Callithrix jacchus: one gene and its partners. The protein of the gene in region 4 binds, or shares a complex with, the protein of the main gene of each other region. Links are inferred from orthologs where the notes say so. Each region holds a gene or a part of one and is shown on either strand. Other genes may lie near its edges. The genes, in order: ACTL6B, DPF1, DPF3, SMARCD1, ARID2, PBRM1 and PHF10.

Evidence for each region.
Region 1: SMARCD1 (region 4) and ACTL6B share a complex: the UniProt entries of both Homo sapiens proteins name them as parts of the BAF complex. The link is inferred for Callithrix jacchus from reciprocal best matches to the Homo sapiens genes SMARCD1 and ACTL6B.
Region 2: SMARCD1 (region 4) and DPF1 share a complex: the UniProt entries of both Homo sapiens proteins name them as parts of the neuron-specific chromatin remodeling complex. The link is inferred for Callithrix jacchus from reciprocal best matches to the Homo sapiens genes SMARCD1 and DPF1.
Region 3: SMARCD1 (region 4) and DPF3 share a complex: the UniProt entries of both Homo sapiens proteins name them as parts of the BAF complex. The link is inferred for Callithrix jacchus from reciprocal best matches to the Homo sapiens genes SMARCD1 and DPF3.
Region 5: SMARCD1 (region 4) and ARID2 share a complex: the UniProt entries of both Homo sapiens proteins name them as parts of the SWI/SNF-B (PBAF) chromatin remodeling complex. The link is inferred for Callithrix jacchus from reciprocal best matches to the Homo sapiens genes SMARCD1 and ARID2.
Region 6: SMARCD1 (region 4) and PBRM1 share a complex: the UniProt entries of both Homo sapiens proteins name them as parts of the SWI/SNF-B (PBAF) chromatin remodeling complex. The link is inferred for Callithrix jacchus from reciprocal best matches to the Homo sapiens genes SMARCD1 and PBRM1.
Region 7: SMARCD1 (region 4) and PHF10 share a complex: the UniProt entries of both Homo sapiens proteins name them as parts of the neural progenitors-specific chromatin remodeling complex. The link is inferred for Callithrix jacchus from reciprocal best matches to the Homo sapiens genes SMARCD1 and PHF10.

What each region holds. Positions count from the first base shown.
Region 1 is NC_133503.1:13,075,803-13,079,710, forward strand, and holds part of ACTL6B (actin-like protein 6B), read left to right. Parts: intron 1-1,008; coding exon 1,009-1,106; intron 1,107-2,015; coding exon 2,016-2,110; intron 2,111-2,177; coding exon 2,178-2,284; intron 2,285-3,603; coding exon 3,604-3,693; intron 3,694-3,839; coding exon 3,840-3,901; intron 3,902-3,908. UniProt on the Homo sapiens protein: Involved in transcriptional activation and repression of select genes by chromatin remodeling (alteration of DNA-nucleosome topology).
Region 2 is NC_133523.1:33,814,776-33,819,238, reverse strand, and holds the start of DPF1 (zinc finger protein neuro-d4), read left to right. Parts: upstream 1-1,337; 5' UTR 1,338-1,442; coding exon 1,443-1,474; intron 1,475-4,463. UniProt on the Homo sapiens protein: May have an important role in developing neurons by participating in regulation of cell survival, possibly as a neurospecific transcription factor. Belongs to the neuron-specific chromatin remodeling complex (nBAF complex).
Region 3 is NC_133509.1:107,528,894-107,532,801, reverse strand, and holds part of DPF3 (zinc finger protein DPF3), read left to right. Parts: intron 1-2,444; coding exon 2,445-2,526; intron 2,527-3,051; coding exon 3,052-3,122; 3' UTR 3,123-3,908. UniProt on the Homo sapiens protein: Belongs to the neuron-specific chromatin remodeling complex (nBAF complex).
Region 4 is NC_133510.1:69,497,749-69,501,985, reverse strand, and holds the start of SMARCD1 (SWI/SNF-related matrix-associated actin-dependent regulator of chromatin subfamily D member 1), read left to right. Parts: upstream 1-1,437; 5' UTR 1,438-1,465; coding exon 1,466-1,642; intron 1,643-1,888; exon of another isoform or gene 1,889-1,945; intron 1,946-2,237; coding exon 2,238-2,425; intron 2,426-2,696; coding exon 2,697-2,739; intron 2,740-2,830; coding exon 2,831-2,953; intron 2,954-3,437; coding exon 3,438-3,560; intron 3,561-4,237. UniProt on the Homo sapiens protein: Involved in transcriptional activation and repression of select genes by chromatin remodeling (alteration of DNA-nucleosome topology).
Region 5 is NC_133510.1:29,645,163-29,649,835, forward strand, and holds the start of ARID2 (AT-rich interactive domain-containing protein 2), read right to left. Parts: upstream 2,863-4,673; 5' UTR 2,735-2,862; coding exon 2,643-2,734; intron 2,528-2,642; coding exon 2,434-2,527; intron 2,266-2,433; exon of another isoform or gene 1,463-2,265; intron 1,366-1,462; coding exon 1,268-1,365; intron 1-1,267. UniProt on the Homo sapiens protein: Involved in transcriptional activation and repression of select genes by chromatin remodeling (alteration of DNA-nucleosome topology). Required for the stability of the SWI/SNF chromatin remodeling complex SWI/SNF-B (PBAF).
Region 6 is NC_133516.1:35,115,072-35,118,979, reverse strand, and holds part of PBRM1 (protein polybromo-1), read left to right. Parts: intron 1-1,417; coding exon 1,418-1,603; intron 1,604-2,826; coding exon 2,827-2,984; intron 2,985-3,645; coding exon 3,646-3,908. UniProt on the Homo sapiens protein: Involved in transcriptional activation and repression of select genes by chromatin remodeling (alteration of DNA-nucleosome topology). Required for the stability of the SWI/SNF chromatin remodeling complex SWI/SNF-B (PBAF).
Region 7 is NC_133505.1:176,374,807-176,378,714, reverse strand, and holds part of PHF10 (PHD finger protein 10), read left to right. Parts: intron 1-227; coding exon 228-334; intron 335-2,414; coding exon 2,415-2,545; intron 2,546-2,698; coding exon of another isoform or gene 2,699-2,820; intron 2,821-3,451; coding exon 3,452-3,535; intron 3,536-3,908. UniProt on the Homo sapiens protein: Involved in transcription activity regulation by chromatin remodeling. Belongs to the neural progenitors-specific chromatin remodeling complex (npBAF complex) and is required for the proliferation of neural progenitors.

The DNA of each region.
Region 1 (3,908 bases), on a different chromosome or scaffold from region 4:
AAACTCCATCTCAAAATAAAATAAAATAAAAATAAATAAAAGAAATCAGTATTCAGTATTTAGACTCTTTTTAAATTAGAGATAATTTTAAGAGAATAGTTTGTAAAGATGGGATCTCGTTATATTGCCCAGGCTGGCTTCAAACTCCTGTGCTTAAGCAATCCTTCTACCTCAATTTACAAATTGCTGGAAGTACAGGCATGAGTCACTGTGCCCAGCCCAATATTTACACTCTTATTACTATGTACACCAATCAGGCCAGACACAGGAGACACACGATTATTACTTTTCCTTTCTTGTGCAACTTTTTGTTTTCCTAGAACTGGAAAAAAAACCAAACAAACCTGTATTCACATTTTTTTTCCTTTGAGATAGAGTCTCACACTTGGAAATATCATTTCCAAGATATTCCCTCCACTTTATGTTCCAATCCTTCTACTGAGTTTTTCAGTTCTGTTCATGTAGTTTTAATTCCCACAAGCTCTTTACTTAAAAAAAATTCTTTTTTAATGAGATAGCATCTCACTATGCTGCCTGGGCTAGTTTCAAACTCCTAGGCTCAAGCAATCCTCCCACTTCGGCTTCGCAATGTGCTGGGATTACAGGCACGAGCAATGGTGCTTGGCCTGCGCAAGTGTTTTGAATGCATGTGTGTGTGATTATGAGTGTGAATATATGTGTATGTGCAAGTGTGAGTTTGTGTGTGTATGTATGCGGGTGTATTTGTGTGTCAAAGTGTGTTTGAATGCATGTGTGTGTGACTGAATATATGCATAGTGTGAATGTATGAGTGCGTGTATTTATGTGTGTATCTGTACGAGCATATGTGTGTGTTTGAGCATGTGTGTATGTGTGCGAGTGTTTGAATACATGTGTGTGTGACCGTGAGTGTATGTGTGAGTGCTTAAGTTGCATGTGTGTGCAACCGTGAGTGTATGTGTGTTTGTGTTGCATGTGTGTGGGTCTGTGCCTCTCCCCGAATCCTCCCCTCCTGCACTTTCTCCACAGTGGAACACACGGGCCAAGCGGGAGAAGCTGACAGAGCTGATGTTTGAGCAGTACAACATCCCTGCTTTCTTCTTATGCAAGACGGCCGTGCTCACCGCGTATCCTCTGGGCTGAGCTGCTCTGACTGGGTGGAGGGCCCCGGGTGGGGCCTGTGGTGAGCACAGCTGAGCTCAGCTGGGAGGCCCGGGCCTGGTTCTCTGAAGATCAGTATCCGAATGGGCAGACGCCTCCCTCTGACCCACTAATGTAGAAGGCCCAGTGGGCTGAGCACCTCTGACCCTGGGGTGGCCAGATCAGCTGCCCCTTTCCATTCCCAGGATCAGGGTGAGCAGACAGTGAGCTGGGCCAGGGGCTGGAGCTGGACAGAGGAGGGAGATATGTAGAACGCTGTGGCAGTCCCTTCCCAAGAACCCCTTTAAACACTGGCTTTTTAAAGGATCTGCCTTACACTGAACCCTGTGCTGTGCAATGCAGTGATAGCGACCCCTAATTTCACAGAGTCTGTAAGACACAACCAAAAATACAGGGGCTGGGCACTGTGGCTGGCCAAGCACAGTGGCTCACACCTGTAATCCCAACACTTTGGGAGGCCAAGGTGGGCAGATCACTTGAAGTCAGGAGTTCGAGACTAGTCTGGCCAACATGGCAAAACCCCAACTCTACTAAAAATACAAAAATTAGCCTGGCATGGTGGTACGTGCCTGTAGTCCCAAGTACTTGGGAGGCTGAGGCAGGAGGATCCCTTGAACCCAGAGGTGGAGGTTGCAGGGAGCTGAGATCACGTGATTGCACTTCAGCCTGGGTGACAGCACGAGACTCCGTTTCAAAAAATGTGTATTAGTAAAGAAGTAACTGGGGTCTTAGAGCCTTTCTTCAGGACACGGGTCCTCACCAGGAGGAGAGATTTACAGACTGGAGATGGCAGGGCAGAGAGTGGCCAGAGCAGAGGGAGTCCCAGGCCCCTCACTTGCCGCTGTTGTCTCTTTGACTTACCCATCCAATGCCAGCTTTGCAAATGGGCGCTCCACGGGCCTCGTGCTGGATAGCGGGGCCACCCACACCACGGCCATTCCAGTACACGATGGCTACGTCCTGCAGCAAGGTGGGGCCTCAGCAGGGGGCGGGGACACCCCAGGAGGACCAGGTCCTGACAGTGCCTCCCTTTCCAGGCATCGTCAAGTCCCCTCTGGCAGGGGACTTCATCTCCATGCAGTGCCGGGAGCTGTTCCAGGAGATGGCCATCGACATCATCCCACCTTACATGATCGCAGCCAAGGTGGGGTCTCTGGGGATATGGAGCTGCCACTAGAGCCCTGGCCACTCGCCCCATGGCCTTCAACCCACTGACACATGAGATATCAGAGCAGAGAGCAGCAGACTCCCCAGTAGATCCCGGCTTCAGTTCCTCCTCTTTTTTTTTGAGACAGAGTCTCACTCTGTCACCCAAGCTGGAGTGCAGTGGTGTGATCTTGGTTCACTGCAACTTCCACCTCCCAGGTTCAAGTGATTCTTCTGCCTCAGCCTCCTGAGTAGCTGTGATTACAGGTGCATGCCACCAGGTGCCTGGCTAATTTTTATATTTTTAGTAGGGATGGGGTTTCACCATATTGGCCAGGCTGGTCTTGAATTCCTGACCTTGTGATCTGCCCACCTTGGCCTCCCAAAGTCCTGGTATTACAGGCATGAGCCACTGTGCCCGGCCCCAGTTTCTCCTTTTATAATCAAGGCATCCAAAATCCAGCCAGGCTGAGGGATACACTGAGGTCATGGAACCAGCTGGCAGACAGTGGGATGTGTAAGGGCCAGTGTGATGGTTCTGCCGTCCAATATAGACCCAGGTTCAAGTTCTGCCTCTGCCATCCGAGAGCTGTGGGACCGACCAGTAGTAGGCAGGTGGCTCGTGCCTGTAATCCCAGCACTTTAGGAGGCTGAAGCAGGCAGATCACTTTGAGCTCACTTTGAGATCAGCCTGGGCAACATGGTGAAATCATGTCTCTACTAAAAACACAAAAACTAGCCAAGCATGGTGGTGCATGCCTGTAGTCCCAGCTACTTGGGAGGCTGAGACTGGAGAATCGCCTGAACCCAGGAGGCAGAGGTTGCAGTGAGCCGAGATTGTGCCACTGCACTCCAGCCTGGGTGACAGAGTGAGACCACATTTGAAAAAAAAAGAGCGTGTGAGCAACAGCATGATATTAAAGCTCTCCGGGCCTCAGTTTCGTCTTCTGTAAAGTGGAATGGCAGTAGGCAGTAGCCAGGGTGCTGTGAGTATGAAGTGACACTGCGTGCTCAGCTCTGTCCTGGGCCCTCACACGGAGCGTGGCCCCCTAGGAGGCCATTCTCTTGAGGTTCTGTCTCTGCTGTATTCCCCGTGGTCTTCAGATCAGCTGCACCCACCATGTGAAGGGCACACAGGGAGAGAGGCATACCCCGTTCTCTCCTCTCCATCAGGGAAGGGTGAGAAACCCCTCTCGCGGGCAGCACAGCACAGCCTCTGGTTCCAGTTAGCTACAGAGCCAGGAACAGTGCCAGGAAGGTAGGGGAGGGTGTCCAGGGTGGGCTGGGAAAGGGTGTTCCTATGCTGTGCCTCCACAGGAGCCTGTCCGGGAGGGCGCCCCCCCAAACTGGAAGAAGAAGGAGAAGCTACCCCAGGTCTCCAAGTCCTGGCATAACTACATGTGTAACGTGAGCCTCTGGAAAGGGCCCCCTGAAACCACCCTCCCCTGCCATGAATGGGGGGCGGGCAGAGGCCCTGCATGTGAGGAGGAGTGGGTGGGGGAGGTGTCGCTCAGGAGGAAGCGAGGCCCTCACCACCCCCACTGGAATTTTAGGAGGTGATCCAGGACTTCCAGGCCTCTGTGCTCCAGGTCTCAGACTCCCCCTACGATGAACAGTGAGTG
Region 2 (4,463 bases), on a different chromosome or scaffold from region 4:
CTTTTTTTTACTTGCTTCTTTTTTCTTTCTAAAATCTGTGTTTTGCTGAATCTATTTTCTTTTCTTCTTTCTTTTTCTTTTCTTTCTTTCTTTTTTATTTTTAGAAACAGTCTCTCTCTGTTGTCTAGGTGGAGTACAGTGGTGTGATCACAGCTCACTACTGCCTCCAACTTTCAGGCTCAAATGACCTTTTTGCCTCAGTCTCCTGAGTAGCTGAGACTGCAGACATGCATCACCACACCTAGATAATTTTTAAACTTTTTGTAGAGATGGGGTCTCATTATGTTGCCCAGGCTGGTCTCGTGCTCTGGGGCTCAAGCAATCCTCCTGCCTTAGCCTCCCAAAGTGCTGAGATTACAGGTGTGAGCCACTGTGCCCTGCCTCTTCTCTTCTCTTGTTTTTTTTTCCTCTCTCTCTCCCTCTCCCTTCTTTTTTGAGACAAGGTCTCACTCTGTCATCCAGACTGAAGTGCGGTGGCACAATCTTGGCTCACTGCAACCTCTGCCTCCCAGGCTCAAGTGACCCTCCCACCTCAGCCTCCTGAGTATCTGGGACTACAGGCATGCACCACCACACCCGCCTAATTTTTGGTATTTTTGGTAGAGATGAGGTTTCGCCATGTTGCCCAGACTGGTCTTGAGCTCCAGAGTTCAGATGATCCACCTGCCTCGGCCTCCCAAAGTGATGGGATTACAGGCATGGGCCACCATGCCCGGCCCAATTTTCTTTTCATAGCATCTCTCACTGTCTGAAATGATTTTATCTCTTTATTTTCTTATTATCTGTATTTCTCCACTAGAACGTCAGCTCCTTGAGAGCAGCAACTTTGTTTTGGTCATTGCTGTATCCTTAGTGCCTAGAAGAGTTTCTGGAACATAGCAGCCACTCAGTAAACGAACAAAGGCGTGATTAACCCCTGTGCTTGTTCACAGGCTCGCTGATATAGAAGAGAAACCCAAATAGGCCCAGACAAAAATACACGATAAAAACCCTAGGGTCATCCACATACCCTGGGGACATCCAGAAGCTAGGGACCACCTGCTCCCGCGCTCGCGGTGCCTCGAGGGTGGAGATCCCGAGCTGGGGACGGAGCACTCCCAGGGAGAGAGGAAAGATGCTCTGGGGGCAGCCCCGCCCCTCCCTGTATCCCCAGCAGCCAATGGGAGCGCGGTCCTCCTGACGCCCCCTGGGACGTGTAGTCTGGGCAGGGGCGCCCTCGGGCGCCGCCGAGCGCCCCTAGACTCCACGTCCCGTCGTGCGCTGGGAGGCGCGGGGATTGGCTGAGCCCCGCCCCCGGCCCGCCCCGCTCCGCTCGCGCCGCAGCCCCAAGAATGAATGAAATCGTAGCGCGCTGGGCGGCAGAGCGGGCGGCGCAGGCCGGGCTGGGCCCGCGCGCGGCGGCAGCGGCGCCCCGGGCCGGAGGCGGCCCAGCCGAGCGGGCCATGGCTACCGCCATTCAGAACCCGCTCAAGTCGTGAGTGTCCCCGCCGTCCCCGCCCCCTGTCCAGACCCCCCCACCAGGAGCCCTTCCCCCGCCCGCCCTGTGGCTGAGGAGGGGGACGCAGCGCGCGGACCCGTAGTTGAGTGGGGGCCCCCAGCGCAAACCGTTGCCCCGGGGGTCGGCCACCCCCTGTCGCCCCCTGGGGTTGGAGGCGGGAGCCTCTTCAGGGTCGCGGGGGCGCCTCTTCTTTGTCGCTGTCAGTGAAGGAATGTGGCGCGGGCTGGGGGTGGCGGAGGCCGTTTCCCCACCCAGAGTGGGGGTAGGGGTTTCCCTCTCCTCCATCTCTCCCTCAGGATCTCCGGAGGTGCCGGGCCTGCCCCGGCCGGGGCTGGAAGCTCGAACACCTGAGTCCGGACCTCGGTCCCCAGGGTTTCCATCACCCGCTCTCCCCTCATCAAAGCGCCTTTCTCTCTTTCCCCTTCTTTCTCTGGGGACCCCGGACCTCGCGGCCGCAGGGTGGGAGCTGAGACGTCGGGGGTCCACGGTTCCATCCCCGCTGCCTCCCTTTTTTCCTTCTGGGATCTCCGGGAACTAGAACCCCGAACCCACGGCCAGCATGGACCGCGGCATCCCTTCCTCTCCCCGCCCATACACATCAAACCGGAGCATCTCTGGTCCCCTCCGGGACCGGCCCGGGAAGGGGGTGCCTGCCGGGAGCGCCCTCGGTCTCCGGGGATTCCCTCCCTTTCTTCCTGGCCGCGGCCCTCCGAGCGTTCGCATTCCTCCCGGGCCCGGTGGCTGGGGACCGGGACGCCTGGGTCCGAGCCTAGACCCTCCTGACCCTCCCCTCTCCCTGCCATCCCTCGCGCTCTCCACCCCTCCCCTTCCCCCTCTCCATCTCGGGCTTGCTTCCTCTTCGGGATCCCGGACTCCTGGGTCCCAGAGCTCCCCACCCCCACCCCTAGTTCCTAGGCGGTGACAGCGGTCTCCCAGTGACAGGCGCTTGGCTGCTCCCGCCCTCCCTCCCCGCAGGCGAGCGCAGCGCTCCCCTCCCCCTCCTCCTGGGCCTGGTGGAGGAGGCGGAGGGCGAGCGCCCGCGGCGGCGCCGCACAAAGGGGCCGGGGCGACCTCCCCACCCTTCCCCCAACCCCGCTCGCTGGCTGCCTTGACCTTGAACATCGAGGGCTGGGGGCGGGGCGAGTGGGGACAGGGAGAGAGGGAGCGCACCCCCCACCCCACCCACAAGAAGGGCTGCGCCTGCCGGCTGGACCAGAGGCCGCCAGTTGCTTCTGGTTTCTGGCGGGAATGGGGGTGGGAGGTGGAGGGTGGGAGTTGGGAGAGGAAGGGGGGCAGGGACTTAGAGGCACGCGCCTACACGTGTGGCTCCGCCGTTAGCAGGGTGCCGGGAGCGAGTGTGTGGGACTCGGGTCCGTGAGAGGTGGTGCATGATGCTGACACCCCTCCGCTGCCCTCTCACCCTGAGTGGCACACACAGTTGTCTCTCATGTGAGGGACACTGCACAATGGTTGTGAGCAGGGTGCCGGGAGCGAGAGCTCCTGTGCAGGTTGGTGGATCTACCCCGCACTCTGACCCTGGCCCAGACACTCCCCCCCCCCCCCCAGGAGGTGTGCTGCATTGGAGAGCAGGGACCTGGGGAGAAAGCCTGGACTGAGAGGGCCCTGCCCCCTGTGCCCTCCCCTTCCAAAACGTATCTGCTGGGGTGAAGGTGGGGAACTCCCTGACTCCTGAAAGAATGTGAATCACATCCCTTGGGGAGAAGGAGCTGGAGGGTGCCGCCCTGGGAAGTTCCACTGCCTGAGTTCTAAAACCAGCTTGAGCCATGAACGTCCCCTGCCGCGAGCCTCAGTTTTGCCATCTGTGTATGGGGCTTTTTTTTTGTTTGTTTTTTTGAGACTGAGTTTCACTCTTGTTGCCCAGACTGGAGTGCAGTGGTGTGATCTTGGCTCACCGCATCCTCCACCTCCTGGATTCAAGCGATTCTCCTACCTCAGCCTTCCCAGTAGCTGGGACTACAGGCGCCAGCTAATTTTTGTATATTTAGTAGAGACGGGGTTTCACCATGTTGGTCAGGACGGTCTTGATCTCTTGACCTCATGATCTGTCGCCTCAGCTTACTAAAGTTTTGGGATTACAGGCGTGAGCCACGCACCTGGAGTATGGGGTCTTCTAACAGCCCTTACCACCCCATACGGCTGTCTCGGGGCTTAAATAAGGCCGTCTTTGTAAAGCGCTTAGCACAGAGCTCTGACCCTGACCAAATGTAGTGATTAGTAGGAGTAGTATCAATATTGATTTATGAAATTGATTTCTACTGTGGGTCAGCTCCACACAGGGCACTGGGGGATGGGAGCAGGAGGATTGTTTGGGCCAGGGAGAGGACTCGGAGGAAGTGTGCAGGAGTGTGGGAGGGGTGTGTGCAGGTGATTAGGCAGAAAGGAAAGAAAGGAGAGCCCGCTCCAAGTGTCAGCCTGGGTCTATGGGTAGAAACGCTGCTGGTGGGCCAGGGACGGTGGCTCACGCCTGTTTTTACAAAAATACAAAAATTAGCCGGGTGTGGTGGCACCTGCCTGTAGTCCCAGCTACTTGGGGGTTTGAGACGGGAGGACCACTTGAGCCCAGGAGGTGGATGCCTCAGTGAGCTGTTAGTGCCACAGCCCTCTAGCCTGGGCCATCAAGTAAGACTCTGTCCAAAAAAAAAAAAAAAAGAGAGAGAGAGAGTGAGAGAGAGAGAGAGAAAGAGGAAAGAAAGGGAGGGAGAGAAAGGAAACTGGAAATTCTGCTGGTAGAGGAGGGCTACACTCAGTGTCTACACTCAGGCTTCTCTTAAATCGACATGAGAGTCTGGGGTTGGGCAGGGGTGAGTCTGCGTGTCTGAGGCTAGAAGTGTGGGAATCAAGTGTAAGAGGGTGTGTTAGGGGACCCGAGAGCGGATGGGAGGTGAGAGAGGAAGGTGGGGTCATGGCTCACCGTGGGTGAGGCGTGGGGTGGCCACGATCAGGG
Region 3 (3,908 bases), on a different chromosome or scaffold from region 4:
CCCCATCCTAACTTGTTTCTCCTTGTATTATCCTTAAATCAAATTGTCCTATAGCTTATGCTGGCTCTGCAATAATGACGTAACTTTTTTGGCATAAACCACAGTGTGCTTGTCTTCATCCTACCTTTCTGACTGTTCCTTCTCAGTATTTTTCTCTGCCTGTCCTGTAAAGTTGGTGTACCCCAAGTGCCCATTCTTGGCCTTCGTCTCAGGAAACTCTTTTGGGTCTCTGATCTTTCAGAGAATTCAATGAAAACTACGGATTTACTTTTTTTTGTAGAAAAACATATATTTCTACCTATGTACAAACGTGTATATTATTTCAAGGGGTTCGTGGACACTCCTCTCTGAAGACAAGTTCAAAGACATTTGCTCTCATACCCTGGGCTTCCTCTCTGAGGACCTTCATTTGCCATCTAATTACAATGACCCCCAAACCCATATCTCATGCCCAGACTTCTCTCCATTGGAGAACGGCCTCCAGGTCATCCCTATGTGTAGGATATGTCTATAACTGAGGTTGCCCTCTCCCTCCCATGAGTCTGCTTTTCCTCCCATGTCCCAATGGGTGGCTGCATCATCTAGCTTGCTGACCAAGCCACGACTCAGAGGGCATCCTTGGCTTCTTCCCTGTCACTCTCCCCATCTAATCAATGATATTTAAATGGGAGCAAGACCCATTTCTTTCTCCCATGCCACAGTCATAATTCAGGCCACCATCATCATGCACCTGGATAGCAATAGCAGCTTCCTAACTGTTGTCCCGGCCTCTTGAATGAACCTCTCCCCTGCTGGGTATCTACTCTTACATAGTAGCTAGTAAGATCTTGCTGAACTGCAATCTGATGATATCACTCCCCTGTGATAACTCTTCAAAAGCTCTCCTGTTGCCCCCCTGACAGGCTTTAGCATGACAAAAAAGCCCTCATTGCTTGCTCCCTGGGGATTCCAACTGCTATATCTCATTTTATCCAGGATTTCTGCACTGGTGGGAGCCAAGGTGAGATTTGATACAAAACTTTATTTTACAAAAGCCTCATAAGCCATCCAAACAGGTTCAGTAATCACCAAATACAACAGGGCTGAAGCCAGAGGGTGGGGCCAGACCACAGTTTCTGAGCAGCTCCTGTATGCAAGGAAGTCACTGCAGTGGAGGCAGTGATGAGGAAAACAAGGTTTTGCCCCGAGGACCTTATCGTCCATAAAGGGAATAAAGGGTGGAAAAAAGAGGCATGCTCCAAATGAACTATTGAAGAAAACAAACATGTAGATGTCTTTTTTTTTTGAGACAGAGTCTCACTCTGTTGCCCAGGCTGGAGTGCAGTGTTGTGATCTAGGTTCACTGAAACCTCTGTCTCCCAGGTTCAAGAGATTCTCCTGCCTCAGCCTCCTGAGTAGCTGGAATTACAGGTGTGCTTCACCACGCCAGGCCAATTGTAATATTAGTAGAGACGGGGTTTCACCATGTTGGCCAGGCTGGTCTCGAACTCCTGATCTCAAGTAATCGACCCACCTCCCTAAGTGCTGGGATTACAGGCGTGAGCCACAGTGAGAGGCCAAGAAAACAAATGTGTATAGATGTCTACCACGTGCCAGGCATGTAACATAAAGCAAAATGCAATTAAATGTCACAGAAAGGGAAAGTACCATGGGGCTGCAAGAGCAAAGAGAGAATTTCCAGTTGAGGTAGATTAGCAAGGTCTTCACGGAAGAGAAGTGCTTGAAGAAGACTTACTTGAAGAGCAGGCAGGGGATGGACATGCAGAGAAGAGGCCAGGGCCTGGAGACCCTCCAGGCAGATGTAGCCACAGGTGCAAAGATATGGCCTGTGTCCTTTGAAGTTAACCCACAACCCTGGGGGTTTCTGCTCTCACCTGGGCTCCAGCCTCCAGACAGTTGAAAGCTTCTGGAAGCCAAGGGATGGCACTACTTGCATGTTTCTACATTCTAATAAAACACTGAAGAGGTTCTGAGGTTTATCCCAGTACAGCCGTTGACCATTTCACAGATGGCCAGAGTGGAGTCCAGAAGAATTCAATTAAGATTTTCAAATATATAGTCGTGGAGGATAGAGACATTTTCTGCCCTTTGGAAGCAGAGCTATTGGCTTTGGAAATTCAGAAGAATAAGTGATCCCTTTAAATTTGGATGTGAGGTGGTAGTCAAGGAAGGCTTCTTGGAAGAGGTATGAGTTGAGCAGAAACCTAAAATGGGGGTAGGATTTATATAGGTTGGAAAGCAGAGGGGGAAACCCCAGGTGTAGGAAAAGCACAGGCGTGTTCAGGGGACAGTGAGGACTCCAAGTGGGGCCTGGAAAGGGGCATCCAGTAAGGCTGATGTGGAAATAAGGCTGATGTGGAAATAAGGCTGATCAGTAAGTGGGGGCCGGACATTGGCCTCAAATAATGGAATCGCTCCTCTGTGCTTGCTCTGTGTTCCACCAGGACCAGCTACTCTTCTGCGATGACTGTGACCGTGGCTATCACATGTACTGTTTAAATCCCCCAGTGGCTGAGCCCCCAGAAGGTAATGACGATGAGGCCAACAGTAATACCAGCAACAATAGTACTCGTAGCACTTACTGAGCCCTCACCATGGCACAGGCCTTGTACTAAAGGCTTTACATGTCCTTGTCTTGTCTCATTTAATCATCACAACCCTACAAGGTAGGTATGACAACTGCCATTTTACAGATGAGGAAACTGAGGCACAGTCCCAGCAGCTGAAATTTCAACTTGAGGGCCAAGGAGGTTTTTCCCGGACATTCAGTGGAGAGGATGGGGAGTGAGCTTCTGGGGGACCTGGTGCAGGCCCGGTGACACTAGTTGGAGCATGACCAGGGAGTGAGTGTCCTGATCAGAGCTGAGCCCATCTCCTCCAAGCACCTGCTTTCTGCTGAGCCACAGACGCTGCCATGTTTTCAGGCCTGAAACTAGGTTTCTGCATGACGAAAGTCCAAAGAAAACAGGGTTTACAAGAAGTTAGGACCACTGGGGTGGGGCCCCAGAGTCAGGAGAGGGGCTGCTACTAAAGCCATCTCATTTCTTGCAGGAAGCTGGAGCTGCCACTTATGCTGGGAACTGCTCAAAGAGAAAGCCTCAGCCTTTGGCTGCCAGGCCTAGGGCCCCAGGTCACAGAATGTGACTTGCTGCTGGAGAGGCTAAAGCAGAGCCCAGTTCAAATCAGAAGGCGCCCTCCTCCCACATGTCCAGACAGACTGACTGTAAGGAAAAGAAATAGTCTCAGAGGGGCACAGACACATGGAACCAAGAGGGTGCGGCGTCTCCCAGCCTCCCCCTATACATGCGGGACTGCGGCCAGCACCTCCTCATCTCCACCGGAAGGAAGCTGCACTCTGGAAGGACACCCCAGACCCAGACCCGTGGAACCCTCTCACTGTCACCCCAGCACTGAGGCCCTCTCCTTTCTTCCCAGTTGAAGGGAAGCCATTTCGTGACGATTCACCCATCACTTGTGTGTAGTGTGGTGTTTTTTATCTGTTGTGTTCCAAGAAGTCTTCGCACAGCCTCCGCCCCCTCCCCCCAGCTTAGGCTCTTCATCCTGAAACTCACCAGCGGAACAAAGGGCTGTGGAGAAGTTATCGTTTATGGCAAGCCTCGCTGGAAACTTCTAGACTCAGAGACTTGAAACCCCTCCTTGTTCCTTGGAGTTGTCTTGGAGACAGAGAGTTGCCTTCTAGAATGCATCAGTGGCATCCACAGCCAGCCCGGTCTCCATCCACTGTGTTAAGTTACTAGATGGGGGTGGAGAGGGAGGGAGAGGCCCAGAGACATGGAGGAAATGTGGCGGAAGTGGTGCCAAGGCCCCGCCATAGCCAGTCAGTATTTGCTATCCATCGGGAGAGACTCTGCAAGAGGCCTGGCTGGTTCCTTGACCTTCAGAGCTGG
Region 4 (4,237 bases):
ACAGCAGGCAGGGCTCCGGGTGACGCATGCCTCTGGTCTAATAAACTGGGTTTCAACCATCTCCTCTTCAGTGTTGTTCTCTTATTTGAAAAGTATTTAGGTATTCTCACTAAGTGCCTAGAGCTGAGCTTGGTTTGGGGCCAATTAGGGGATGAGTAAGGAGAAAGTTTGAGTAGGGAGAGCGTGGTCCTTCTGGAATGGGACAGGCTGACCGTCATACCCAGGATAGGTTTGAATCACTGGGCAGGGAAAGAGGGAGGAGTCAAAGGCAAGAAAGGTCCAAAACAATCCCCAGCACCACAAAGGATGCTTTAGCGAGAGAGCAGGGTCAAAATTCAAGATAAACTGGAATTTATTATAAAATCTGGAAGCAGGCTGGCACACTGGTTCATACCTGTAATCCCTGCCCTTTGGGAGGATGAGGTGGGAGATCACTTGAGGTCAGGAGTTCGAGACCAGCCTGCAAAACATAGGGAAACTATTTTTTGATATTCAAAAAAACAATCTGAGACCAAGCACAATAACTCACACCTGTAATCCCAGGATCTGGAGAGGCTGAGGCAAGTGGATCATTTGAGCATAGGAGTTCGAGACCAACCTGGACAACATGGAGAAACCCCATCTCTACCAAAATACAAAACAGCCTGGCATGGTGGTCCCAGCTAGCTACTCCGGAGGCTGAGGTGGGAGGATCACTTGAGCCCGTGAGGCGGAGGCTGCAGTGAGCTGAGATCGCACTACTGCACTCCAGCTCGGGCAACAGAGACATCATCTAAAAATAATAAAATAATCTGGAAGCAGGTTAGGCCAGAGACAAAGTTAGGTTGAAGTTCCCACATGAGGTAGTTATTGAGGCAGTTTATCTGTGGAATGAGTCCCCGGCTATGAGCAAGGAGATCTGGAATCTTGGCTTAGGCTTTACCGCTAACTTGCTGGTTGACCTTTGCCAAGTCATTCACCTTCTGTGAATTCAGCTTTCCCATTTGTAAAATGGAATAAACTGTGCGTTTCCCTCCTCAGCCCCTGACAGTTATAGCAGTAAGAAAATGAAACGAAAGCAATCAAAGCGTTTTGGAAAGTTAATGCCATGCGTCAAAATAGCTATTACTCCAAGCCCCTCTTCATCAGAGGGCTAGAGTCAGGGCAGGGTTGAGACGGGCTGAGGCTGTGGTCCCCCTTTCCATGTCCTTGTCTTCCTCCCGTCGGCTTGGGGGCGCCCGCTCACGGGGCTTTTCTATCCCAGAGCTCTTCTCTATGGTTTTCCCTCCCGGACCGTGAAGGCGGGAGGGCGTGGCCAGCACGCCTTTTCCGCTAGTCGCCCCCTCTAGCCCACAGTCTCGCTGCCCTGAGCCTCCCGTGCCGGCCGGCCGGCCGGGGGAACAGGCGGGAGCTCGGGGGGCGCGCGGGGGGCGGGGGGAGTTCCGGTTCCGGTTCTTTGTGCAGCTGCATCGGCGGCTCCGGGAAGATGGCGGCCCGGGCGGGTTTCCAGTCTGTGGCTCCCAGCGGCGGCGCCGGAGCCTCAGGAGGGGCGGGCGCGGCTGCTGCCTTGGGCCCGGGCGGAACTCCGGGGCCTCCAGTGCGAATGGGCCCGGCTCCGGGTCAAGGGCTGTACCGCTCCCCGATGCCTGGAGCGGCCTATCCGGTGAGTGGGGCAGGAGGAGGGGCGCGCGGGCCGGGGGCGGGGCCGAGCGGTACCTGGGAGTGACAGGGGTCGGGGGAGAAGTAGGAGGGACTCCCTTGGGAGGGGTTCGGGCTCTGAGTGGGGGTTGAAGGAGGCAGTTAGCGTCCCCACCTGCTCCTAGGGGCATTGTTTCCCTGGGGAGTCGGTGGAGAACCAGGGTGGGTGGAGTGGGTCCGGGATACCTTTACGAGGGCCGGAGTGCAAAGGGGCTTGAGCAGCTCCATCCAGTGATCAGAGGAACACAGATGTAGCTGGCAAATTGAGGTCAGCTTCTAAAGAGATAGTAGCTAGCAGAGTAAATGTGGAATTCGAGATGTCCGATGTGCCCCATCCAAAATAGACTGAGGAGAATTTCAATATAATCGGACTCTCTCTTAGCTTTTGGATCCTGTTTTTCTATGGAGTCACTACTGGAGCAAAGGGTTCTCCTCTCATTGTCCTCCATTCCATCCCTAAACCTTACTTCATTCAAATAATTCAGGCATCCCCTTCTTTTTTTCTTGGTGGGGTTTAGCAGGTAAAACAGTGACTTCTCTGGGTCCTTTCCCCTCTGTAGAGACCAGGTATGCTGCCAGGCAGCCGAATGACACCTCAGGGACCTTCCATGGGACCTCCTGGCTATGGGGGGAACCCTTCAGTCCGACCTGGCCTGGCCCAGTCAGGGATGGACCAGTCCCGCAAGAGACCTGCCCCTCAGCAGATCCAGCAGGTCCAGCAGCAGGCGGTCCAAAATCGAAACCACAAGTAAGATGATCCTAGGGCAGAGGGAGGGAGGGAGGAGGCCTGGGAGGACACGGGTGGTGGGAGTACCTGAACCAAGAAGCGGTGGTGCTTTGTCAGCAGATGGCCCTACAGGACTGATTCTCGAGAATGCTTGGTGGTGGTGGTGGTGGTTCTTTGATTTGAGAAAAGCTTTGCAGTCCCTTCGCATTACTATAAATGGACATGCTGACAGCTTATTTTCACATTCTGACTAGTTCTGTCTCAACCTGATAATGGTATATATTCCCAACAGTGCAAAGAAAAAGAAGATGGCTGACAAAATTCTACCTCAAAGGGTGAGTCCAGGCTATAGGTCTTCTGGAAAGTGTGGTGAGTTTGAGTATAGAGATGATCATCCTAGATCTCATTAATTTTTCTGTTCCTAAGATTCGTGAACTGGTACCAGAATCCCAGGCCTACATGGATCTCTTGGCTTTTGAAAGGAAACTGGACCAGACTATCATGAGGAAACGGCTAGATATCCAAGAGGCCTTGAAACGTCCTATCAAGGTAACACCGGAAGGCACTAGGCAGAGAGCCAAAGGAGAGGACCCAGGAACCTCCAGCAGACTTAGCATGAGAAATCAAAGGCACAGCACAACTCTCCTTGGCATTTAAATTGCATCTCTCCCTTCCGCCTACAAACTGAGAATTACATTAGGAGGATAAGAACAGAATGGCAAAGGGGGAGGGGCTCTTGATGTCTCTTGCACTAGAAATATACCCTTGTCCATGTTTTTGCTATAACTGCTCTGCTACCTTGGGAACCTGGCACCTAGCATGACTTTGTCCACCTGGCATCCCACTTAATACAGTTGTGCTTAGGCTGATGGCCAGTACTCCTCTTCTAAATGGAATCTTTATCCATCCATCCAAGGGACTGGGTAGATAGTAAGGCAGTCTGTTAGGAGTAATTTTGGGGTTTGGGGAGACCCTTGTCTTCAACATCAGACCACTGAAGCCCCACGATCAATCCTGTTTCTGCCTTCCTCAGCAAAAACGGAAGCTGCGAATTTTCATTTCTAACACTTTCAATCCGGCTAAGTCAGATGCCGAGGATGGGGAAGGGACGGTGGCTTCCTGGGAGCTTCGGGTAGAAGGACGGCTCCTGGAGGATGTGAGTTCAAGGTCCATCACGGTTGGCATCTAGGGTGGGAGCTGCTGGGAATGAACAGTGTTGTCAGCAGGAAGCCTAACTGGTGCTCACAGCTCCTTTTGGGAGCAGTAGGCAGAGGGATGCTCTGTTCCCTGCACAAAAGACAATAGTCCTTTGTGTTTTGCCCCCACACCTTTGGCCCTCACTGGTATCATTTGGAGAACCTTATTGTCCTGGGATCTGACTTGTTGTTTACATTCCTCTTGGTGCTGCTGGCTGTTGGATTTAGCCATCTTTGTAGATTATTTAGGTTTTTTTTGTTTTTTATTTTTAATCAAGTGAGTTTGCACTCAATTTGAGGCCATGTTTCCTCTCTGAGTCCTTGTGGTATCTCCATCTTCCCAGCTTTCATTGGAGACACCCTGCAGTTTAAGTGGGATAGATTTCTCTGACAGGCTCTTTGTTGCTTCCTGGGGAGCATCAGCTGACAGGTGATAGCCCCCAAACTTCCCACCCCAGAAGCTCCTTGGGGAAGCTCACCTTTCTGTCATTCCCTTACATTCTCTGGCTCTATTTTTAGCTGCTCACAGGCAAGCTAATTGGAATGCACTTTTGCAGGAGAACCAGGGCTCAGTGTCAGAGCCTCCTTCTGTATATAGGTCTGGTCCATCTGCTGGTGGTGTCATTCTGTCCAAATA
Region 5 (4,673 bases), about 40 Mb from region 4:
GTTTCTCATCCCACTACTAACTCAACAGTTCTGGAGGTTGATTTTGTTTTCTGATTCAGCGCTTTATTTTAAAATGTGCTCTGACACAAATGCCATCACACGCAATAGATGACAACGAACCATATTTAATATTTTCTAGACTTCCTGTGTAACTCAATAACTACACAATAACTACTCCACAAAGTTCTGTGAACTCCAGCTTCAAGCCTGAAGTCAATCTAAGATAGCCAATAGAAAGTACACCTGTGCAATTATTGCATTTCCTGTTTCAGAATGTTGAATGTAACACATGATAACTGAATGCATCTGAAACAGTAATAAATGCAAAACTCAAATTATGCAGAAGCCACATTACAAAAGGCCTCTATTATCACTATAAAAAGCAATAAATACAAAAAATATCATTTTAGTTTTAAATAATACCAACTAACTTAGAATCCTCTAAAGTAAACATTAAAAATAATGCACAGCCTCATGATAAATTATATGAAAGGATTCCTAGAAGAAAAACTAGAAGCAAAAAAATAACGCTAAATCACAAAATATATCATCTAAACTGTATCGCATACCAACAGAATAAGAACTTTGTCAAATAAGCAGTCAAAAAAAAGAAAGAGGGAGAATGAAAGAAAATCCAAAGTATAGTATCCCACTTCATAGCATCCCCATTTTCCTAGAGATATAATAATCATTTTGAACGTTTTTAAGTCACTGGAAATTCAACAAAAAGTAATTCTCAAAACAATCCTGGTCACCTAAGGCACCAACATGTTATGCCATGCATTCATATTCTACTGAAAAACCTATTCAATGTCACTGTTCCAAACAAGAAGTTTCATTTAAAAAATAAAATCTGAAAGTCAGAATTTTTTAAACCAAAGAAGTTTCCAAAACAAAGAAAAAAAAATTTTCCCAAAGATTACAGTTTCATTAACTATCTTAACTCTTTTACTAAGCATCACCTTTCTTCCATTCAGTGGATATCAAGCGATCAATAACAATGTCACAAAAGAATGTTTACCAAGATGGGGGGTGGGGTGTCACCTGTAATGATTTTGTATGAAAAACGTAAACGATCCTAAAATTGGTAAGAAAAACTTGCACCTTCCTACAATCTCACTTTATTTATATTAAATGTGTCTTAGTCTAAAATGAACAAGAGCTTAGAACTGTTTGGTGTGCAAGGTTTGCTTTTGTTTTTGCCAAAAACAAATCTCTCCATAAGTCCCTTATTTCCAAATACTATGGAAAAGTCACTACTACTCACCGCAAGTAATACTGTTTTAAAGCAAAGGCAGCGTTAGAACAACTTCTGGGAAAGTTGAACTCTTCAACAATTTCTCCCCACTGATTCTTCTCAGAGACCTGGTAAAACACAGGCACACTTGTCTGAAAGTGAACAATCTAAAAAAACCTTTACCTAACTGAAATAAATACCCATTCTACAGAGATCTGTAGATACCTAAGGCATCAATGGTTGTTTCTGATCGATCGGTAAGGTAAGAGTTACTAAGCAAGCAAGGGCGTCTTGAATCACTGTTTTCACCAGACAGCCCTGTATTTAATACCACTTGTTTTGTTTGGGGGGGATTGGTGGGTTTGTTTTGTTTTTGAAGCCGGGACAATAACCAATCGCAAGTCCCTCTGTCGCCCCCTTTTAAATCTCAACGCGGTCCGTTTACACTTAAAAAAAAAAAAAAAAAAAGTTCAAAAGGATCAATACAGTTCCGGACAGCGACGTCCGCGGGTTCTGGGGGGGCCGGGGCCGGGGCCGATTCCGATCCCTCTCCCAGATCTATCCATCTCCATAGGCCCTTCTTTGAGGCCTACAGCTTCTGCCTAGCCTTGAAGCCTAAGATGGCTATTTGGAGACAGGTCCTGGTTTCTTTTGTTAGCTGTATAAACCGAGGGCGACGGGGCCGAGGCTGTGCCCCCGGCTGCCAGGATCATTTCGCAGCCGATTATCGATGTTAAACCTGCCCGCGCTAATTTTGAGTTGCACGAAAACTGCTCTGAGTCTGTGTGTCTCTGTGTCTCAGCCTGTGCTAGAGCGGCAGCGGCGGCAGAGCTGACGAGCGAGCGAGCGAACAAGCGAGCGGGCGGTGCGGGCGCGGGGCTCCGGCTGGCGCCCCGCACGCCCGCACTCTCCGCCGCGGCGCTCAGACCCCGCCGGCCCAACTGGGCACCGGGCAGGGCGCTAGCCGGCGCCGGGCCGCCAGCCCGCGGGAGCCCCGCGCCCGCCGCGCGCACGCGAGCCACCAGGCCAAAAACAGCCCCGCCGCCGTCCGCCTCCGTGCCACCGGCTGGGAGCGAAAAGAACGCCTTTTGCCCCCGCGGGCCACCCCCCCAGCCCCAAGCGCCCACTCTGGGGTCAAAGGAGACTTTTTGGAGGAGGCCAGTGAGAGGGAAATACAAATTAAAACTTCCACTCACCTTCGCGAATCCGCCTAAAGTAGTGACTCTGGTGTAGAGACCGTGAAGATCCAGCTCCTTCCCACCCACCGCAGGGATTTTTTTAAAAGGCGACCTGCGGGAGAGAGAAAGACCCGCACTTGTCAGCCGGGACCCCGCGCCCGGCCCGGGCGGGAGAGCCCCGTTCGCCCCGGCTCGCCCCGGCGTTGCCCCCCCGGTTCTGCTCTCACCCTCTGCTGTGGTGGAACTGCCGCAGCTCGTCCAGGAAAGCGAGTCCCTTTCTCCGCTCGTCCGGAGGCGCCTTCCCCGTCGAGTTTGCCATTATTTTTTCAAAGGAGGTTTTTTAAAAACCCAGATCGGTGTTTTAAAAGCGCCCCCCGCTCCCAGCGCTTCCTACCAGAGCCCGGAGCCCATTCCTCGGCCGGCGGCGGCGGGGCTCAGTCACGGGCCGGCGGTGGCGGCGGCGGCGGCGGCGGCGGCGGCGGCGGCGGCGGCGCAGGGAGGGAGGGCGGGAGGGGGAGGAGGAGGAGGAGGAGGGGAAGGAGGGAGCAGGAGGCCAGGGGGAGAGGAGGGAACGAGGGAGGGGAATTTCTAAAAAAGTTTAAAGAAATCGGAGCGAAACTAGAGGGGCAGGCGACTGCCGGATCCGCGCGAAGCCGCGGGGCGAGCGCGGCCCCCACCCCTTCCTTCCCTCCCTCCCTCCCCGCGGCCCGGCTCTCGCCCGCCTCTCAGCGCCGCCGGCTGAGGTGGCTTGGCCCGGGTACGCGATTCAACATGGTGCTGCTGCCGGGGGCGCGCGAGCGGGCGAGGGGCAAGGCGAGCCAACGGTGAGGGGTCGGGGCGGCCGGAGGCCCTAGAGTTTCGGCGGCGGCGGCGACAGCGGCCGGCCTGGGGCAGGCGGGGCTGGGGGTGGGGAGGGGGAGGTCTGTGTGGTTTGTAGAAAGCGGGGTGACAGCGTGTATTTCGGCCCAGGCTCCGCGGAGCCCTCGCACACATTCACGCGCGGCCTCGGCCGCTGAGGCCGGGGCGTCCCCGGGCAGAAGCACCGGCGGCAGCTGAGCCGCTGCGCGCCGCCCGCCGCCCGCCTGCTTCCCTCCTCGTCAGCCTCGGTCTCTGCCGCCGCCAGCGCCGCCGCCACGGCCGGGCAGCTAGTGCCGCACAGCGACCCCCAAAGGCCGGCCGCGGCACTGCGCCTGGCTCCACACCGCCCCGGCAGCTCCTCGCGGGGAACAATAGACTCGGCTCGCCGAGCTTAGGGTTCGTCTGCAATGTGCCGCACATTTCACACGCACACAAAGCCGGCGGAAAGGGGGGCGGCGCGGGGGAACGGCCACTACCGGTTGTTCCAGGGTTAGGGGTGGAGGCGATGTTCGCGTCCCTGGCCCGGCTGTCGGAAGGGCCGCCTCGGAGTCCCCGCCCGCCCAACAAAAGTGGTGTGGCGCTCTGGAGGGAAAGGAGGCTTACCGGGGCAGCTCACGCTACGCAACATTCACAAATCGGAATAAAGTCAATTTGTTACCTTCTCTTTTTGTAAAGTCTAAAGAAATTGGTTTTTATGAGCCTTATGCTAGTATTTTGGGGCCTGGTTAGCACATTTTCTATGAATTATCCACACGCTATCTTTAGCAAACTATACGTTAAATATAATGTGAACTGTCTGTCCTAGTTCTGTGGAAAAAGAGTAATGCTTATAATTCATCTTGCCTCTGGTTGGCTTCACATATCAAACTGGATTATTCTATTACCAAAGTTATGCAAACTAAACTGGTTAGCAAGCAATCTCCAACTTCGACAATAATTAACGTTTACATTTTTATAGTAAGGTCTCCTAAAGATTACTGCGTTTAAAATAAATATCGAATAAAATGTTTTTCCTTGCTTTCAAATGTCTTAAATGTAATCCTCGTTTAAAATATTTGTGAAGGTTAAAAAAAACCTTTGGCTTAAATGGGAAAGTCAAAACATCTCAACAAATACTATCACCTAAATTTGCATTTACGGGGGGTGTTGGAGTCGGCTCTTACGCTGCAAATGTTAATTAAGATTAGAGTAAGTGAAGCCAATTATTATTTCCATCTTAGTGACGGCCACTAAGAACAAAGTCACTGCCTAACCCAAGGTCATAGGGTAGGAAGGGTCTGGATAGATTATTATTTCAGGTAGTCATTACAATGGGAACATTGCTTTGGAGGTGCAATATTATGTAATATAGTGCAGCGTGCTTCCGGTGCTCACTCTAGGAAATGGACTTATTTCCCAAC
Region 6 (3,908 bases), on a different chromosome or scaffold from region 4:
AAACAGTGTACAAAAGTCACTAGCATTCTTATACACCAACAGCAGCCAAGCCAAGAGCCAAATCAGGAACGCAATCTCATTCACAATTGCCACAAAAAGAATAAAATACCTAGAAATACAGCTAACCAAGGAGGCAAAAGATCCCTACAACGAGAATTACTCACTGCTCAAAGAAATCAGAAATGACAAAAACAAATGAAAAAACATTCCATGTTCTTGGATATAAAGAATCAATATCCTTAAAATGGCCATCCTGCCCAAAGCAATTTACAGGTTCAGTGCTAATCCTATCAAATTACCAGTAACATTCTTTACAATACTAGAAAAACTATTTTAAAATTTAGATAGCCAGGCCCAGTGGCTCACTCCTGTAATCCCAGTGCTTTAGGAGGCTGAGGCGGGCAGATCACTTGAGATCAGGAGTTCAAGACCAGCCTGGCCATGTCCCTGTCTCTTCTAAATATAAAAAATGAGCTAGGCCTAGTGGCGTGGGCCTGTAGTCGCGGTTATACTTGGGAGGCTGAGCCAGGAGAATCCCTTGAACATGGGAGGTTGCAATGAGCTGAGATGGCACCACTGCACTCCAGGCTGGGTGACAGAGTTAGACTTCATCTACAAAAAGAAAAAAGGCATTTAATGTTGTTTCAGGAAGAATAAATAAATAACATTTAAAATGCTTATTCTTAGCTCTTCCATTTATGGGAAGTTAATCTAAGGAAGTAATCAAAGATTTGGGCAAAGCTTTATCCTCAATAAAAACCCTATGATATTTGCAAATGATAGCTTGTACTGGAACTATTAATAAGTTTTACTTAGCAAAAATAAAAGATACTTTGAAAAGCATTTTCTCTCAGGGCAAGTGTTCATGATATATTAAATACATGTAGTTTATAGTATATTGTAGAATATGTGTATTCTATATTTCTTCAATTCTAAGACTACATTAAATGTGTCATTCATATAATAACTTAGTGAAATGAAACACATTCAGAAGCATTAAAGTGGAGATGAAGTATATCGAGATTATCTCTAGAATTTCTTGACTTCAAATGACATACATACTTCCTTGTGCCTTTAATGTTTTCCAAAATGACCACATGATCATATATTAGTAAGGTGATGTTTTTATTCTGTGCATCCTTTTTATACTTATATATTCAGTTGAATTAATGGTGGCTGTAATTCAAAAATACAATTTTGGGTAGGGGCTATCTGGAATGTGAAGATCATACTATTGCTGATTGCTGCCTTGAATGTTGCAAATGGAATTAAATGTATTATTAGCATGTGTTGTTTGAATCCTACATCTGACTCCAGCATCCCTTTATGGAGTACCTTTTTCATTTATTTATTTATTTATTTATTTATTTACTTACTTACTTACTTACTTACTTATTTACTTATTTATTTACCTAAGAAGCTGAAAAGAGTGAAGATTCCTCTGGTGCTGCAGGCCTCTCAGGCTTACATCGCACATACAGCCAGGACTGTAGCTTTAAGAACAGCATGTACCATGTTGGAGATTATGTCTATGTGGAACCTGCAGAGGCCAACCTACAGCCACATATAGTCTGTATTGAAAGACTCTGGGAGGATTCAGCTGGTAAGGTTGTTTTAAATCAAAGGACAATTTAGTAAGATATGAGTATTTGACTCCTCCTTGCTCCTCAGGGAAGAAAATTTTAACTCAGACATTTTATGCCTTTCCATAGTAATTGTTCAATATATCAATAAATGTAAGTAAGCACCCATCATATGAAAAACATAGGACCTATTGGGCAAGTGTCACTATTGAGTCAAAGAAATACAGCTTCTTAAAGTCTGGTTGAGATTCATTCATTCAATTGATACTTACTGAAAACATATTTTGAGCCAAACTTTAGGTAGAATGACAGAGATTCAGAAGAACAAAAAGCTCATGTTTTTTCCCCTGCAAAACTACTCCAGTAAGGAAGATTATGAATAAAAAAGAAATTATTATAGGATGATGTGCCTTGGCTTAGAATTTGTTTTCAAAAAGGCTTTCCAGAACAGTTGTCTGTAAATTGAAAACTGGAGTATAAATAGAAGTTAATGAAGCCAAAAGCTGGTGGAAATGTGATCCAGGCAGTCCAGTTCTTTGAGCTGCCTATTACATGAAATAGTTTCGTATTCCTTCACCAGAGAGCTAAATATGTCCTTCAGTAGTATATCTATATCCTTACTAAAGTGCACAACTCTAGGTATGTACTAACCAGAGCTGAGTGGAGCAGGTCTCATCACTTGGCCTCCTCATTATATATTTTATGTGACTTTTACTATGAAGAAGAACCTAGGCAATATGGCAAGACCCCTTCTCTACAAAAATTAAGAAAACTAGCAGGGCATGGTGGCATTTGCTTGTGGTCCCAGCAACTTGAGAGGCTGAGGCAGGAAGATCACCTGAGCCCAAGAGGTTAAGGATGCATAATATATATAAGAGAGAGGAGGAAAGTAGCATGCATTTTTTAGGTCTCATTACACTTTATTATTTTAGAGTATTATTTCTTCTATGGATAAGAAACTGTAGCATAAGAAGCACAGTGCTAGATTCAGATCATGGCAGAATGGATTGATGGTGTATTTCCTAATTTTGCAAAGAATATGTGATTTCTGAGCTGGCACAGTGATATATACTTGTAGTCCCAGCTACTCAGGAGGCTGAGGTTGGAGGACCACTTTGGCCCAGGAATTCAAGTTCAGCTTGGGCAACATAGTGAGACCCTGTCTCTTTAAAAAAAAAAAAAAATGATTTCTGTTAACAATGATTCTCTTTCTCTTCCCACTCCTTCACTCCCCATTTTTGAGGTGAAAAATGGTTGTATGGCTGTTGGTTTTACCGACCAAATGAAACATTCCACCTGGCTACACGAAAATTTCTGGAAAAAGAAGTTTTCAAGAGTGACTATTACAACAAAGTTCCCGTTAGTAAAATTCTAGGCAAGTGTGTGGTCATGTTTGTCAAGGTAAGAAACTCATTAAACCCAAAAGTATCACTCATTCCCTAGGAATAAAATTTTAAAACAGAAAATACTGATATTTACAAAATTAGGAATTCTGTTTTAAACTATTTTTTAAGCTGTGTATAGCTATATGTAAAGATTTGGGAAGAAATTAACCTGAACATGGTTATGAAAGATGACTTGCTGCTTACACTATTTGGCTATAATGCAATTAGGTTAAGTTTTTAATATTGCCAGGCTAATTTTTAAGTATGATGTTTTTTGAAAGATAATCATGACAAATTTTCAGTTTGGTTTGTAGCTAATAATGTGTGCTTTTTGTGTATATGTCTGATACAAACACATGATCCCTCTTAAAAACTTTAAGGAACATTATAGCTATATGAGATGTTCATACGTTTTCAAAAAGCAATTGTAAGCTAAATGGAATTATTTGTTTTTATAATTTAAAGAATTTGTATCTAATAAGTCCATTCTGTAGCCAAGGAAATACTTCTAAATCTCTAGTCATCTGTTATTTTTTTTTTGTTAACTGCCAGAAAGTCTGATCAGTTTAGCTTTTGTTTGTGTGGTTGGTTATTTGCTTTTTTCTTTTTTTTTCTCTGATTGGTTTTCAGAAAATCCACCTAACTAGTTTTATTCTTATGTCTCCCCTACCCCCCAGGAATACTTTAAATTATGCCCAGAAAACTTCCGAGATGAAGATGTTTTTGTCTGTGAATCACGGTATTCTGCCAAAACCAAATCTTTTAAGAAAATTAAACTGTGGACCATGCCCATCAGCTCAGTTAGGTTTGTCCCTCGGGATGTGCCTCTGCCTGTGGTTCGTGTGGCCTCTGTATTTGCAAATGCAGATAAAGGTGATGATGAGAAGAATACAGACAACTCAGAGGACAGTCGAGCAGAAGACAATTTTAACTTGGAAAA
Region 7 (3,908 bases), on a different chromosome or scaffold from region 4:
GCAAAAGCAGATTTACATTTACAGGTTAATTGAAAATGTTCTTATTTTGATTGAAGATCAGTTTTAAATTGTATTCCAGGTCTTGCTCATGCCAAACTTTTGGTCCCTTTTAATTGTAATATGAAGTTAATACTTGTATGACTTGTCCTTAGTCTTTCAGTTATTGAGACTTAATTGTTCTTTTATTCTTTCTCTAATTATTATTTTTGAATCTTTTAAATGTGTAGGATGACAATGAAGAGAATTCAAATGATGGGACCCAGCCATCCAAAAGGAGGCGAATGGGCTCAGGAGATAGTTCTAGGAGTTGTGAAACCTCAAGTCAAGATCTCGGGTACTGTCATTTTACTGGTTATTAATATTTTTTGTGATGTTTCTCTTTGCGGTAACATCCTCTTCCCTTTCCCCCAGCTCTGGCAAAGACAATTATTAAAAATTGTAGCATATTTTCTTACTGTTTTATTATGGGCCACCAAAATTGGTCTTGGTACTGAATGTAATTAAAAAACAATTTTTTGATAGTAAAACGCATAATACATAAAATTAATCGTTTTAACAGTTTTTAAGTGTGCAATTCATTGGCATCAGTTATGTTTGCGTTCTTGTGCAGCCATTACCACCATCCATTTCCAAAATTTTTTCACTACCTTATCTGTACTTTATAAGCATTAAGCAATAACTTCCCTTTTTCCCTCTACCCAGCCCCTTGCGACCATCATTCTACTTTCTATTTCCATAAATATGACTACTTAGTTACTTCTTATAAGTGGAACCATAAAATATTTGTCCTTTTTGTGGCTGACTTATTTCTCTTAGAACTTTGAATATCTTCAGAGTTCATCCTTGTAGCATATGTCAGAATTTTGTTCTGTTTTTAAGACTGAATCATATTCCATTTTATGTATATACTGCACTTTGTTTATCCATTTGGATGTTGATGGCATTTGGGTTTCCATCTTCTGGCTAAGGTGAATAATGCTACATACAGTGAGCATTGGTCAGAGTTTGTGTTTTCAGTTTTTTTGGGGATGTGTATGTAGGAGTGGAGTGGCTGGATTACATGGTAATCCTATGTTTAACTTTTTGAGAAACTGCCAAACTGTTTTCCATAGGTGTTGTATCAGTTTACATTCCTACCAGCAATACACAAAGTTTCCAGTTTCTTCATGTTTCTCACCAATTTGTTTTTCATTTTTTAAAATAATAGCTATTCTAAAAGGTGTGGAGGGATATTTTATTGTGATTTTGATTTGCATTTCCATAATGCCTAGTATGTTGAACATCTTTTCGTCTGCTTCTTGACCATTGTATTTCTTCTTTGGAGACATGTCTATTCAAGTTCCTTGTACATTTTTCATTTGGGTTTTTTGTTGTTGTTGTTGTTCAGTGTTTTTTATATATGAATACTTCATCAAAAATATGATTTACACATATTTTCTTTATGGGTTGTCTTTCACTCTCTTGATAGTGTCCCTGTACAAAATTTTTAATTTTGATGAAGCCCAAATTTTTCATCTGTTTTTTCTTTTGTTGCTTGTGCTTTTGGTGTCATGTAAGAATCCATTGCCAAATCCAAGTTTGTGAAGATTTCTATGTTTTCTTCCAAGAGTTTTCTAGTTAGCTCTCATATTTAGGTTGTTGATCCATTTTGAGTTGTGATATGAGGTAAAGGTCCAATTTTATACTTTTGCATGTGGATACCCAGTTTCCCAGCACCATTTTTGAGAACACTGTTCTTTTCAAAGGTTATTTTTTAAACGGATAGATGTATAACATATTGTCACTTTCCCGTGTCTAATTTAGAGGTTGAATTGGCCCAGATCTTGAAATCTGTACTCTGTTATTCAGGATAGAAATCGACTGCAACATCTTGGCACCTTTAAACTAGGTCTATCCTTCGCTTCTGGGTTTGTGGAGTATCTAAGAACAAATAATTATGGTTTATGGCATGATGCATTGAGATACAGGTTTTTAAGAGTTCTGATTTCTTAGCTATTTATGACTCACTGAACAGTAGACAAGAGACAGAAGTAGTTGATTGTTCCTTGGGTGGATGAAATACTGGCTATGCATTTTTAACCTAAGAGAAAGAATTCAGAGCTGATACCATCACCTTGCTTTGCCCTCATAGGTCCTTTAAACTAAAAATGCCTTCGTTCTTAGCAATTGAGATTCTTGGTTCTTCCCGATATATAAAAGAATGTTATCTTCATTGTACCTTTTTGACTTGGTAGACCAGATAATTATTTCTCTTCCTTGTAGCTGTTTTGTAATTTTCTTTGATATACAGGAAGTCAAGTCATAGCACACAAATAATTTAAATACTTAAAATAGTTTTCAAAATATCCTCAATAAAAGTGATTAAAAGTTAATGAAAGCCAAATTTAATGCATAATATATATTTCTGTACTTAGCTTTAGTTACTATCCAGCAGAAAATTTGATAGAGTACAAATGGCCACCTGATGAAACAGGAGAATACTATATGCTTCAAGAACAAGTCAGTGAATATTTGGGTGTGACCTCCTTTAAAAGGAAATATCCAGGTACTAGTTTATATAATTAAAGCTAATTTATAATTAATAGTAATTCTTTATGATACACTGTCAGCTTCTGAATTTTTCTATAGGTTATAATATATTTTATATTCTTGTGCTTTTGTTTTTATTTTTTCTTTCTTTCTTTTTTTTTTTTTAAAGACTAAGGGTCTCATTCTGTCGCCCAGATTGGAATGCAATGGTGCAATCATATCCCACTGCAGCCTTGTACTCCTGGGCTAGCTGTCCCCATGCCTCAGCCGTCCAAGAATCTGGGACTACAGGTGTGCACCACCATGCCTGGCAAATTTTTAAAATTTTTATTTTGTTAGAGATGAAGTCTTGCTATGTTGCCCAGTGTGATCTCAAACTCGTGGCTTCAAGCTATCCTCCTGCCTCAGCCTCCTGAATTGCTAGGATTACAGGTGTGAGCCACCATGCTTGGCTGTTTTAAATTTATTATCATTCAGCATCTCTCTTCATTATTGATATATTCTATGTCTCATAAACTGATTTAAAAGCAAAATGGGAAAGGTGAATTTCCTGGGGAAAATTTTAGAAAAAAATCATTTTATAGACAAGTTTTGGATTTTTACCATTGTCCCTTGATCTAAGGAATAGAATTAGCTATATGAACCATATCTGAATTTGAGAAAGGCTATTCCTTATTAACTAGTCTAGTTATTTATGTTACCTTATTGCTTTGGATTATTCTATTTTCGATTTTATTCTAACTTTTGTATCTTACTGAGTTTTATTTCTTGAATTTTATTTCTTGAGTTTATAGTATTTTTCTGTAGTCCCTTTAACATTTGGAGTATGTAATATGAATACTTTTAAAAATCAAGTTTTTTAAGCTTTTAAAACTTTTACAAATGCATAATGTTTTGCTGTTTTTGATTTTTTTTTTTGGAGATTTAGAGCGACGAGATTTGTCTCACAAGGAGAAACTCTACCTGAGAGAGCTAAATGTCATTACTGAAACTCAGTGCACTCTAGGTAAGAATAGCTTGTAATGTGCATTTTTCAAGCTGAACATTTACAAGATGATATTGCATTAAGTATCTTCTTTCCTAAAATATTTTACAAAGTTAATAAAATAAACTGAACTATTTAAATCTACATTGTTTAATTCATTTTTGATTATTGTTAAAATGCAAAGGAGAATGAAGCTTGAACACATATATAGTTCCTGACTTATGATCGTTCAGCTTCACGATGGTGTGAAAGCAGTGCATATTCAGTAAAAACCATACTCCGAGTGTCCATACAACCATCTTTTGACTTTCTGTATAATATTTAACAAATCGCATGACATACTCAACACTTGATATTAAAATAGGCTTTGTGTTAGATGATTTTGCCCAGCTGT